Linked DNA regions of Callithrix jacchus. The protein of the gene in region 2 purifies or fractionates together with the protein of the main gene of each other region. This does not show direct contact. Links are inferred from orthologs where the notes say so. Each region holds a gene or a part of one and is shown on either strand. Other genes may lie near its edges.

Evidence for each region.
Region 1: the proteins of FBL (region 2) and NOP56 purify together in Homo sapiens (affinity purification with mass spectrometry; 6 studies listed by BioGRID and IntAct, counting the BioPlex papers as one, with this or other methods). This does not show direct contact. The link is inferred for Callithrix jacchus from reciprocal best matches to the Homo sapiens genes FBL and NOP56.
Region 3: the proteins of FBL (region 2) and C1QBP purify together in Homo sapiens (affinity purification with mass spectrometry; 4 studies listed by BioGRID and IntAct, counting the BioPlex papers as one, with this or other methods). This does not show direct contact. The link is inferred for Callithrix jacchus from reciprocal best matches to the Homo sapiens genes FBL and C1QBP.

The regions. Positions count from the first base shown.
Region 1 is NC_133506.1:10,184,094-10,187,840, forward strand, and holds the start of NOP56 (nucleolar protein 56), read left to right. Parts: upstream 1-1,192; 5' UTR 1,193-1,220; coding exon 1,221-1,223; intron 1,224-1,389; coding exon 1,390-1,479; intron 1,480-1,833; coding exon 1,834-1,948; intron 1,949-3,071; exon of another isoform or gene 3,072-3,146; intron 3,147-3,253; coding exon 3,254-3,415; intron 3,416-3,583; coding exon 3,584-3,747. UniProt on the Homo sapiens protein: Involved in the early to middle stages of 60S ribosomal subunit biogenesis. Required for the biogenesis of box C/D snoRNAs such U3, U8 and U14 snoRNAs. Part of the small subunit (SSU) processome, first precursor of the small eukaryotic ribosomal subunit.
Region 2 is NC_133523.1:35,086,335-35,090,081, reverse strand, and holds the start of FBL (rRNA 2'-O-methyltransferase fibrillarin), read right to left. Parts: upstream 2,316-3,747; 5' UTR 2,091-2,315; coding exon 2,006-2,090; intron 1-2,005.
Region 3 is NC_133506.1:106,968,691-106,972,437, forward strand, and holds the start of C1QBP (complement component 1 Q subcomponent-binding protein, mitochondrial), read right to left. Parts: upstream 2,277-3,747; 5' UTR 2,184-2,276; coding exon 1,943-2,183; intron 1,389-1,942; coding exon 1,238-1,388; intron 1-1,237.

The DNA.
Region 1 (3,747 bases), on a different chromosome or scaffold from region 2:
TCTGGAGTTCGAGACCAGCCTGGCCAACATGGTGAAACAATCCCATCTCCACTAAAAATGCAAAAATTAGCCGGGCGTGGTGATGGGCACCTGTAATCTCAGCTATTCGGGAGGTTGAAGCAGGAGAATCGCTTGAACTCGGGAGAACGAGATTGTAGTGAGCCGAGATGGTGCCATTGCACTCCAGCTTGGACGACAAGAGCAAAACCGTCTCAAAAATAAAATTTCCTTAGAATGACTTTAAAATGTACCAGCGGATATACTACTTAAGTGTAACTAGGTTTTGGATTTATAACGTTAATATTAATTGTTAAAGCAAAACCCATTTCTAAATAGTCGCCTGAGCGCCCCAAAGACGCCCTCGAGGACAGGGAAGCAGCTCCGATTATCTCGGCGCTCACCGGCGCTCAGAATTCAGGGCTGCTCAAGCGGAAGAGCAACACGTGGCCAGGCAAAAGGAGCTGGGTCCCGTGCAGAAAAGGAACAAGAAACTGGCCTAGGAAGACGTTGGAGCATCTTTCGCACGTTACTGCCTGTCACCGTCATTTTTTAAAATGATAAATAAAATTAAGAGTACGAAGAAAACTGCGCGAGCCACTTTCCCAGCAGGATCTGCGCCAGAGCGCGCCAGGTACTACTCCTGTACCGTGGGAGAAGAAAGGACGCGCGGCCCACCCGGCGCCGTGGAGGCTCGTCCCCGAGTAAGGGACGGGAACTGATGGGTCCCAGGGACGAGGGGCGCAGGGTCTAAGGCCCGAGGCTACGGGCGCAGCAGGAAGCCGGTTAGGCAGCGGTGCCGGTCTGGGATGGTCACCACGCCCCACGCGGAGCCTCCCGCCCTAACTTCGTCCAGCTCTGCTGCCCGCAACTTTTATGACGGGAAGCTTAAATGAGGAGAACATCAGGAACTGGACTATTATCCCGAAAGCGCCTTTCCAAGTCATTGCACGGCCTGCAAGGCCCCACCCGGGGCCGCGCGTCCCCGGCAACCGCGCCTGCCCGCGCAGCTGCAGAGGCCGGGAAACGCCTGCTCGCCCGCGCTAGGTGCCACCTCGCCCGCGCTCCGGGCGATACCATCCCGGGCGGCCCCTCGGAAGGCCGGAGATGGTACCGTCCCTGATCTCCGATTGGCCCGCCGGACGCGGGCGTGGCCTCTAGAGTCTGGTTCCGCGCGCCGCAGCGCGCTAGCCGCATTGCGAGCTGAGCCGGGAGCGGGCGCCATGGTGAGGAGTGGTTGCGGGGCATGGACGACGTGTAGGTGGGGGTTTGGGCCTGGGTTCGAGCCAGGGCCAGAGCCAGAGGCTGGGCCTGGGTCTGCGCTTTCCTTGGGAACGGGTTCTGGCAAACACGGAGGTTGCGCTGACGCTCGCGCCGCGGCCCCGGTTGCAGGTGCTGTTGCACGTGCTGTTTGAGCATGCAGTCGGCTACGCGCTGCTGGCGCTGAAGGAAGTGGAGGAGATCAGTCTGCTGCAGCCGCAGGTGGGTGAGATACGTGGGATCCTCCGGTGTCCCCGCCGACCCTCACCGCACAGGTCCCAGCATGCACCGCGCGCTCCCACGTGGTCTCCGCGCGGTTCGGTGGGGGAAGAGGGGACGGGCCTGGAAAACTCTAGAGCCGGGGGTCTTTACCTTGACTCATGGGTAGGATCGCTCTAGCGGTTTGAAATAAGCCTCCTGGACTCCGCCCCGGACCGATTAAAGCAGAAGCTAGGATGTGGGGCCCCGGTATCAGCCTATTTAAAGAGCTTCCAAGATTGAGAGCCGCTGCTTTACTTACTGCGCCGCAGAGGCAGGAGGGAGGGAGGAAACTACTCAGCCTCCTTATCCCCCCAGGTGGAGGAGTCCGTGCTCAACCTGGGCAAATTCCACAATGTCGTTCGTCTGGTGGCCTTTTGTCCCTTTTCCTCGTCCCAGGTTGCCTTGGAAAATGCCAATGCCGTGTCTGAAGGTGAGTCGACCACCGCCAAGTGTCTCAGGGAGATGTGGTTCCTTCCGGTATCCTGTCGGGCGGCATGTGATAGTATTTGCTGTCGTTTGCTAGTTCCAAGTATGATAGATATGAGGCAGTGTTTGAAACATACAATATGTAATTGGAAATCATGGTCTTTACAGAGCTCAAGGTCTGGAAACTGTAATAGACTAAACCATTTAAAGCAGGCGATGTAGGATATGTGTTACGTTTCCTTGTGGGCACTGTGATTTTTTTTTTTTTTTCTTTTGAGACAGAGTCTTTCTCGCCCACGCTGGAGTGCAGAGGCGCGATCTGGACTCAATGCAAGGTTACCAGGAATATAAAAGATATTTGTTACTTCTGGGAAGGCCTTGTGCTTGTGCTTACCTCCGCCTCCCGGGTAACTGGGATTACAGGCCTATGCCACCACGCCTGGACAGTTTTTTGGGTTTTTAGCAGAGGCAGGGTTTTGCCATGTTGGCCAGGTTGGTCTCCAATTCCTGACCTCACGTGAGCCACCCACCTCTGCCTCCCAAAGTGCTAGGCGTGAACCACCACGCAGTGCGCCCGGCCCTCTCCATCTTCCCGCCCTGCCCCCTCCGGACGTCTGTCGCTCAGGCGGGAGTGCAGTGGTGCGATCTCGGCTGAGGGCACCCTCTGCCTCTGAGTTCAAGCCATTGTCCTGCCTCGGCCTCCTGAATGGCTGGAATTACAGGAGCACACCACCATGCCCAGCCAATTTTTGTATTAGTAGGGAGGGAATTTCACAATTTTGGCCAGCCAGTTTTGAACTCCTGACCTCAGGTGATCCGCCCTCTTCCCAAAGTGCTAGGATTAAGGGTGTGAACCACCGTGCCCGGCTGACAAATAATTCTTAAAGGAGGTTGGTTTAACACTTTATCTGGGACCCGAGTTTACCTAGACACAATGAAGTGTGTGGTTCTCTGCTTTCTATTTGATTGGAAAGGGCAGTTGGATAAACACAGGCTAAGGAAAAAAGGTTTGGTTCCAGTAGGCAAATTCTAATACTAAATACTTGAGGTTGTGTTACAAGCTATTATTTATTGCACACTTGTGCTATCAGACCTGAGTACAGTTGTTCCCATGGCTGGGCCAGGCTTTGCAGTGATGACTTGGTAATCAAATCTGTCAATCCCCTGAGTGCAATCACTGATGTCTCCATGTCTCTGAGCAGTGCCTGATGGGGAGTTTCTAGGTGGCAGGACCAGGGTATCGGCTGAGGGGATGTTACAATTGATCATCCTTTAGCCTGTTAGTGGGAACTGTGTTTTTTGCCTTGAGGGGTTGTTCATGAGGACCTCCGCCTGCTCTTGGAGACCTACCTGCCGTCCAAAAAGAAGAAAGTACTCTTGGGAGTTGGGGATCCCAAGATTGGTGCTGCAATACAGGAGGAGTTAGGGTACAACTGCCAGACTGGAGGCGTGATAGCTGAGATCCTGCGAGGTGAGACCATCATCTTATATTCCTGGTAACCTTGGCGTTTGGGGGGAGGGGGGTTCCAGAAACTCGGATATTTGTTACTTCTGGGAAGGCCTTGTGCTTGGCTGGTTCCCATGGGTGCAGAAGCTAGCTCAGAGCCCTTTGTTGCTTATAGTCCTGCCCTCCTCTTAGGAGTTCGTCTGCACTTCCACAATCTGGTGAAGGGTTTGACCGACCTGTCAGCTTGTAAAGCACAGCTGGGCCTGGGACACAGCTATTCTCGTGCCAAAGTTAAGTTTAATGTGAATCGAGTGGACAATATGATCATCCAATCCATTAGCCTCCTGGACCAGCTG
Region 2 (3,747 bases):
CACTCGTGAGCCACCACGCCCAGCCAAAGTGTATCTCTTAATAGCTATTCCTAATTTAATCTTTAAAAATGAATGGTTTTCATTTTCAAAGCTCCCAAACATAATCAAAAGTTTACTTTGTATCTTCTACGCCCTCTACTGCCCAGTTTTCACACAGCAGCTAATAAGCGCTGTTTTAAAACAGCAAGATCTCATCACATCCTTACCCAAATCCCTCCCATGGTTTTCCACCACATCCAAAATGAAATTTAAAAATGCCTTTCCCTGGCTTACAAAGCCTGAAATCAAAGCCTAAAACCTTTAGGCTTTAAATTCTGATTTCATTGTTCTGGGCACAAGGTCTTCCTAAAGCTCTCCAGGTGACTCCAGTTGAGAATCATCGTCTTAGGGATCTGGCCTGTGCTAACTTCCCCGACTTCATTCTCTCGATCCTGGGCCCCATGCTCTTCCCCACCAAGCACACACAGTCCAGCCTCTAAATCTTCACCACGCGCTGTTCCCACTCACTGCCCGGTTCCTGCAGACATGTGCACGGCTCACTCGCTCCTTCACTGCATTCTGGTCTCTGATGAAATGTTAGTTCCTCAGAAGTGCCTACTTTGGCCACCGTACCCTTACCCTGATTTATTTCCCTTCAAATCAGCTATCACATGTGGCACTTGTAATATTATTAACACCTCCTTAACCTGATTTATTTCCCTTCAAATCAATTATCCCACGTGGCATTTGTAATATTATTAACACCTGCCTCCCCCACTGGGCTCAAGCTACAAATGGGCAGATTTTTGTTTCGTCAGCACCACATCCCCAGAGCCCTGCACAACACCTGGCACAAAGTATGGACTCAATCAATGTTAAATGAGCGCCACCTGCTGGTGATTCTTAAACCGCGGGCCGGGCCGCAAGGAGAAAGCATCCTCTTTGTGTTCAGAAGGTAGGTGGGTGATCCATCAGATCACCAAGGAAGTGCTGATCACTCCCCACAAGGATCCCATATGGAGAGATCACCAATGTTATTGCCACTCTCAACCCTAGTGCATAAGGAAGGTTCGCTGTATTATCTTTATGTCTTACAGATGAACTTCATCGCCGGGCACCGCGGCTCATGCCTATAATCCCAGCACTTTGGGAGACCCGGCAGGTGGAGAGTTTGAGACCAGGAGTTCAAGATCAGGCTGGCCAACAGAGTAAAACCCTGTCTCTACTAAAAATACAAAAAACTGCCTAAGCGTGGTGGCACGTGCCTGTAATCCCAGCTACCCGGGAGGCTGAGGCACAAGAATCAACTGAACCCAAGAGGTGGAGGCTGCGGTGAGCAGAGACGGTACCACTACACTCCAGCCTGGGTGACAGAGACAGATTCTGTCTCAAAACCAAAGAAATGCTGGGCCAGGCATGGTGGCTTACGCCTGAATCCCAGCACTTTGGGAGGCTGAGGCAGGCAGATCATGAAGTCAGGAGTTCAAGACCAGACTGACCATCATGGTGAAACCCCATCTCTACTAAAAATACAAAAATTAGCCAGGTGTGGTCGCACGTGCCTGTAATCCCAGCTACCAAGGGGGCTGAGGCAGGAGAATCACTTGAACCCGGGAGGAGGAGGTTGCAGTGAGCCAGCCGAGATCGCGACACTGCACTCCAGCCTGGCAATGGAGCAAGACTCAAAAAAAGAGTCCTAGGAAGTGCTGGCATGTGCACGGGGCACAGTGGGCATGCGTGTAAACTTTCAATCCCAGATACTCACAACATCTCAACCCATTTCAGGTCCTCGAGCTTTTGGGGGAAAATGTACCAAAAGTACCCACTCCTCCGAGAAAACACATGTTCACGCAAACTTTTCCGGTAAGTTTTTTTTGGGGGGGGGAGAGAGCAAGGGGAGTCTACAAACCCCCCTGATTTAAAATCTGCTCTCCTTCCGCAGCTTTCTGTATCTCAAAAACAGCAATTCCATCGTTCCAGTTACACACCCCCAAACCCTTGGTTATCCTTGACTTTGCTCACATACCCACATACAATCTGTTGGTTCTGTCTTCAAAAGCATGTAAAACTGTCAGCACATCTGCGGCTCCCATCCTGGTCCACCACACCATCTCCTAGCTTACGGCAACGAACTTCCCACTGAGGTGCCTGCTTCCACATTTGCCACCCTGAAGTCTCACACATCGAGGCAACAAGAATCCCTTTTAAAAATGTCAGACTGGCCGGGCGCGGTGGCTCAAGCCTGTAATCCCAGCACTTTGGAAGGCCGAGGTGGGTGGATCACGAGGTCAACAGATCGAGACCATCCTGGTCAACATGGTGAAACCCCGTCTCTACTAAAAATACAAAAAAAAAAAAAATTAGCTGGGCATGGTGGCGCATGCCTGTAATCCCAGCTACTCAGGAGGCTGAGGCAGGAGAATTGCCTGAACCCAGGAGTCGGAGGTTGCGGTGAGCCGAGATCACGCCATTGCACTCCAGCCTGGGTAACAAGAGCGAAACTCCGTCTCAGAAAAAAAAAAAAAAAAAATGTCAGACTGCACCGTGCCCCTGCTCAAAATCTCCCCAAGAGTTCTTCTCTCACTCAGACTAAAAATCCTTACTAAAGAGCTAACACCTGATAACTTCCACAGCTTCACATTCTACCATGCAATGAAGGAAAGATGGAAGAAGGGGTATCCTCCATTCCTGAGGGAATCACAGACCAGGATGCCTGCAGGCAAGCCAGAATCTCAGTAGGAGATACCTGACCTAGCATCCCCTCCCCTACTTCATCAGGAGATCCCCAAACGCGAAAGAGAAAGGGAGCTTTAGGAGAAGGGCACGGATCCACACATCTGCCAAATGACCCCCATCTCTCTACACACACACACGAGAAAGAAAGCCTGTACTAGCAAAACAGACCCCTTGGGCCACGGTGGAAAATTCTCCGAACTCGGTGAAGCAAGTTCTCACACAAACGAGTGGGAGTTGGGCAGGTGAGGAGATGCAGGAAGCACTTAAGACACCCCGAAGAGGGATCCTAATTTTGTTCTCTTTAAGAGAGATAAAGGTAACAATTAGAGCCAATACTAGTATATGTCAAGCACTGTGCTTTTTTTTTTTTTTTTAACGTCGCTTAATCCTAACTGCCGCCATTTTATTGATGAGAAAACTGAGGCTCAGAGACGTAAAGCCACTTGCCCAAGGTAACACAGCAGGCTAAGAAGCTGACCCTGAACTGAAACACTGAAATGAGGCCCTTCTGCTGTTAAAGCCAGGACGCTCATCGTTCCACCATGAAGGGAGTGGGTTCAGCAAAAATCTAGCGGAAAATCGAAAGAATAAAACTACTTATGTCCTGTGACAACCACCCAACCCACCACCCCGGTCTAATACCGAGCTTGTGAAGTCTCTCCGCGGAGGTGGAAATCTTAGGCCCCACATCTCCACTCCATCCCCGGGGATCCGCCCCCCTGTAAGTGCAGAAGGCGGGAAAGTGAGCCAGAGAGCGCCGCACACGGCCAAGCGGGGAGTCCTCATCCACTCCAGCCCACTCGGAGAAGCTGGGTTGGGGGATAAGAGGGGGGCGGGTGGTGGTGGTGGTGGTGGTGGTGGTGGTGGTGGTGGTGATGGCAGTGATAGAGTAGTCAAATAGAGGCTTCCCACACCCCGCTCCGGGACCCAAGGTCAGGAACCCTCCATTTCCAACCCAAGCTTGATTCCCAAAACCCACGCCCAGAGATCCAAGGATCCAGACTCCGAGCTAAGACCCTTGAGTACCGCCTC
Region 3 (3,747 bases), on a different chromosome or scaffold from region 2:
AGGAGGCGGAGGCAGGAGAATTGCTTGAACCCAGGAGGCAGAGGTTGCAGTGAGCCGAGATCCTGCCACTGCACTCCAGCCTGTATGACAGAGCAAGACTCCATGGGGTAGGGAGAAAGCTGCATATTGTAGGACTCTGTTTATATGAAATGACCAAAAGAGGCAATCTATAGAGAAAGTAGATTAGTGATTGCCTGCAGTGGCTAGATGGAGGAATCAGGAGTGACTGCTAATGGTATTCTTTGGAGATGACAATAATGTTCTAGAATTAGTTAGTGGTATCTGATGCATAATTTTATGAGGACTAAGAAACAATTTAATAAGCTTCAATAAATGGGTAAATTTTATGGTATATAAATTAAATCTCATTAAAGCTGTCACTTAAAAAAATAATTAAAGGCTGGGTGAGGTGGCTCACACCTGTAATCCCAGCACTTTGGGAGGCCAAGGTGGGCGGATCATGAGGTCAGGAGATCAAGACCATTCTGACCAACGTGGCAAAACCCTGTCTCTACTAAAAATACAAAACTAGCTGGGTGTGGTGGCGCATGCCTGTAATCCCAACTAACTCAGGAGGCTGAGGCAGGAGAATCGCTTGAACCTGGGAGGCAGAGGGTGCATTGAGCTGAGATCATGCCATTGCACTCCAGCCTGGGCAACAGGAACCAAACTCCTCTCAAAAAAAAAAAGTTATATATACATCATAAGGTCTATTATAAAATAATTCAATTTTAAAAACCTGGAAGATACTAAGTGTTTATCTGTGTAATAAGATTATGGATGACTATAATGCAAAAAAATTGTAAACACTTCAACAGTTAGCTTAGAAGGTGGGAGAGCTGCCTTAGGTCACAAACTCCCAACCTCTGATGGCAGCCCTGACTACAGTGTAACCCCATTCTGTTACACAGAAGTTACATGTTGCATTTTCACCCACTCTGGACATTAAGAGACCAGGGTCCTACTTTACTGGCGCTGTAAACCAGAGATCAATCTGATTCTGCCAGTACTTTTTTGTGTTCATTTTTGTCTCCTTAGTAATCAGCCCACAGCAAATTTGTGTTCAGTGAATCAACTATCTGGAACTTATAAATTTGTCCAAATGAATCCTTCACTCGCTTGAAAACCATTTATCAAAGAATCCACACCTGAACTCAAGGCTCTTCTGGGGATGATCCACGACGGGTCTTGCAGGGTAATGGAGTTGGTGCCCTGGAATCCCCAGACCAGTACTTACGTTTCCCCAGCAACTTTCTGCACTAATTTAGCTTCTGTCCCATTCAGTTCCAGCTCCCAACCTCCAGACATCTTAGGGAGGGTTTTATGCTTCTGGATTTTTCTTTCCTCCTTAATTTCATCACTCAGGAAATCAACAAAAGCTTTGTCTCCTAGAAATCCAGATACATTAAAAGGGAAGCCAGTTAGTCTAAAACATAAAATTATTACCCAAGTTATTGTAGCCAGAAATCTGGCCTGTTTCTAATCTCTGCTATTATGCTTACTCTGGAAGCCTCAGTTTCCTTATCTGTAAAAATAACACAATAGTATTGCGAAGCTAAGGACGTCCAACAGCGAACGCATTGCCACCTTCTGTTGTAAAGCAGAAGAACTTCCAGGCATCCTCTTCCACTGCCAAACGATTTAACTATGCTATTTTCAATCACGACCTTGGGCTTTCCCAAAGGTCCACTTTTGAGAGACTAAAGCTAAGGATAGAGGTACCCTCTAGTATTTATCTACCCCGTTCCAACAGAAAATGAAACTTGTGGAAAGGCGAGGTGGGGAAATATGATCACACGTGGGTTTAACCCGCTGGTTGCCAATCAATGGAATAATGTCCCAGATCTCGGAGGTCGGTTGCAGGCGCCACTCCTGGTCTACGTTTTTCTTTCGTAGACCGCAAACCCCAACAACAGCCCTGGCCCACGAGCATGAACCTCACCTTCGGTGTGCAGCGCGCCGCAGCCACAGCCGCAGGCGCAGGGCCCGCGAGGCCGCAGGAGGCCCGGCCGCTGCTCGGAACCTGCGCGCACGCTGAGCAGCCCGAAGGGCCGGGCGCAGAGCTGGGGCGCCGGCTGCAGGAGCTGCCGGAATGGCGAAGCAGGCGAGGCGGGAGCCGCGGCGCGGAGGCCGGCAACGGAGGAGCCCAGTACACGGGGCACGCAGCGTAGCAGAGGCAGCATCGCGGAGAGGACTAGGAACACGTGCAGACGCAAAGGACTACCCAACTCTAGGCTCCCCGCGACCTAGCCCGCTGCCGGAAGCCCCGCCCCGTCAGGAAGCGCTTCCCGCGCCGGCGCTCTGAAGACCTAAGGCCAGTGGGAGGAATCGCGCCCTCTGCTGGAGACCTCCGGTATAGCCCGGGAAGCCTCGAATTTTTTCCGCGAGCTTTCTTGCTGCGTTAGCCTGAGGCCGCTGTCCGAAGCTGTTTAATTCCCTTCGGTGGCTGCTTAGACATTTTCCATCTACTGGTCTCAAGCCACACCGTTTTTGGGCTGCGTGGAATGCACTCTTGTCTCCCCTCAGCTCTTACCAGACCCTTACACGGTCACTTTCCTCTAGGAGGCTGTGGTGTTTCTGTGTGTGTGTGTACAGGTTTTCATCCACAGTTCCTGGCTGTGGTGTTACAGTGTGTGTGTGTGTGTGTGTGTGTAGGTTTTCATCCATAGTTCCTGGGAGGCTGTGGTGTCACGGTGTGTGTATAGGTTTTCATCCAGTGTGTGTGTGTGTGTGTAGGTTTTCATCCACAGTTCCTGGGAGGCTGTGGTGTCACGGTGTGTGTATAGGTTTTCATCCAGTGTGTGTGTGTGTGTGTGTATAGGTTTTCATCCACTGTGTGTGTGTGTGTGTGTGTGTATAGGTTTTCATCCACAGTTCCTGGCTCTTAACTCTCACAGCCCTTGTTACAGTGTTCTGTGATAATGTTGGGTGTGTTAGGCCTCAGAGAATAGAATCTCTCTCCCCTCCTCCTCCCCTTTCACAGGCCCCATAGCGGGACTCTCATCTCCCCCCACATTTCTGATTGTGGGTCTTAAGTCCCTCCCCAGAGAAGGTCCCACCCTATACCTTGGGGAAAGAGATGCTGAAGTTTGGAAGCTTCCATAAAAACCCAAGAGGACAGGGTTTGGAGAGCCTCTGAGAGCTAAACACTTGGAGGTTCCTGGAGGGCTGTAGCCCTGGGAGGGGAGCTCATCTCCTTATCCGCATCCTCGGTCATATCCTTTACATTAAACCAGTAAATGTGTTTCCCTGAGTTCTGTGAGAGGCTCAAGTAAATTCATATAACCCAAAGAGGGGGTTCAGATTTAGATTAAGAACCAAGAATCCCACCTTCTCAGGATACACAGGACATATAAGCTACCAAGAAGGTATGGCTTACTAACTCATGATAAGACTAACACTTAATATCTTCTGAACACTCCTGAGTCACAGGACACCTTTATAAGAAAAGAAAAGCTATTTTCTAAACAATTTTCAATGAATAACGGAAAGGAGATTCAGAAAACGAGCCACACACATCATGTAAGATTAGTTTTTAATGGATTTGATCATCGGGTGCAAACTTGAGCATTATGTACAAGAGCTTTCTGTAGTTATTTCTACACAAACAAAAGCCTGAACCTACTTGATTTTTTTCCTCCTCCCTCTAGTTACCAAGGAATGCTATCTTAGATGCATGGCCTATTATCACACTGGTCTTTAAAAAAAAAAAAAAAATGCATGGCCACAGTTCCAGGCAGTTCCTGG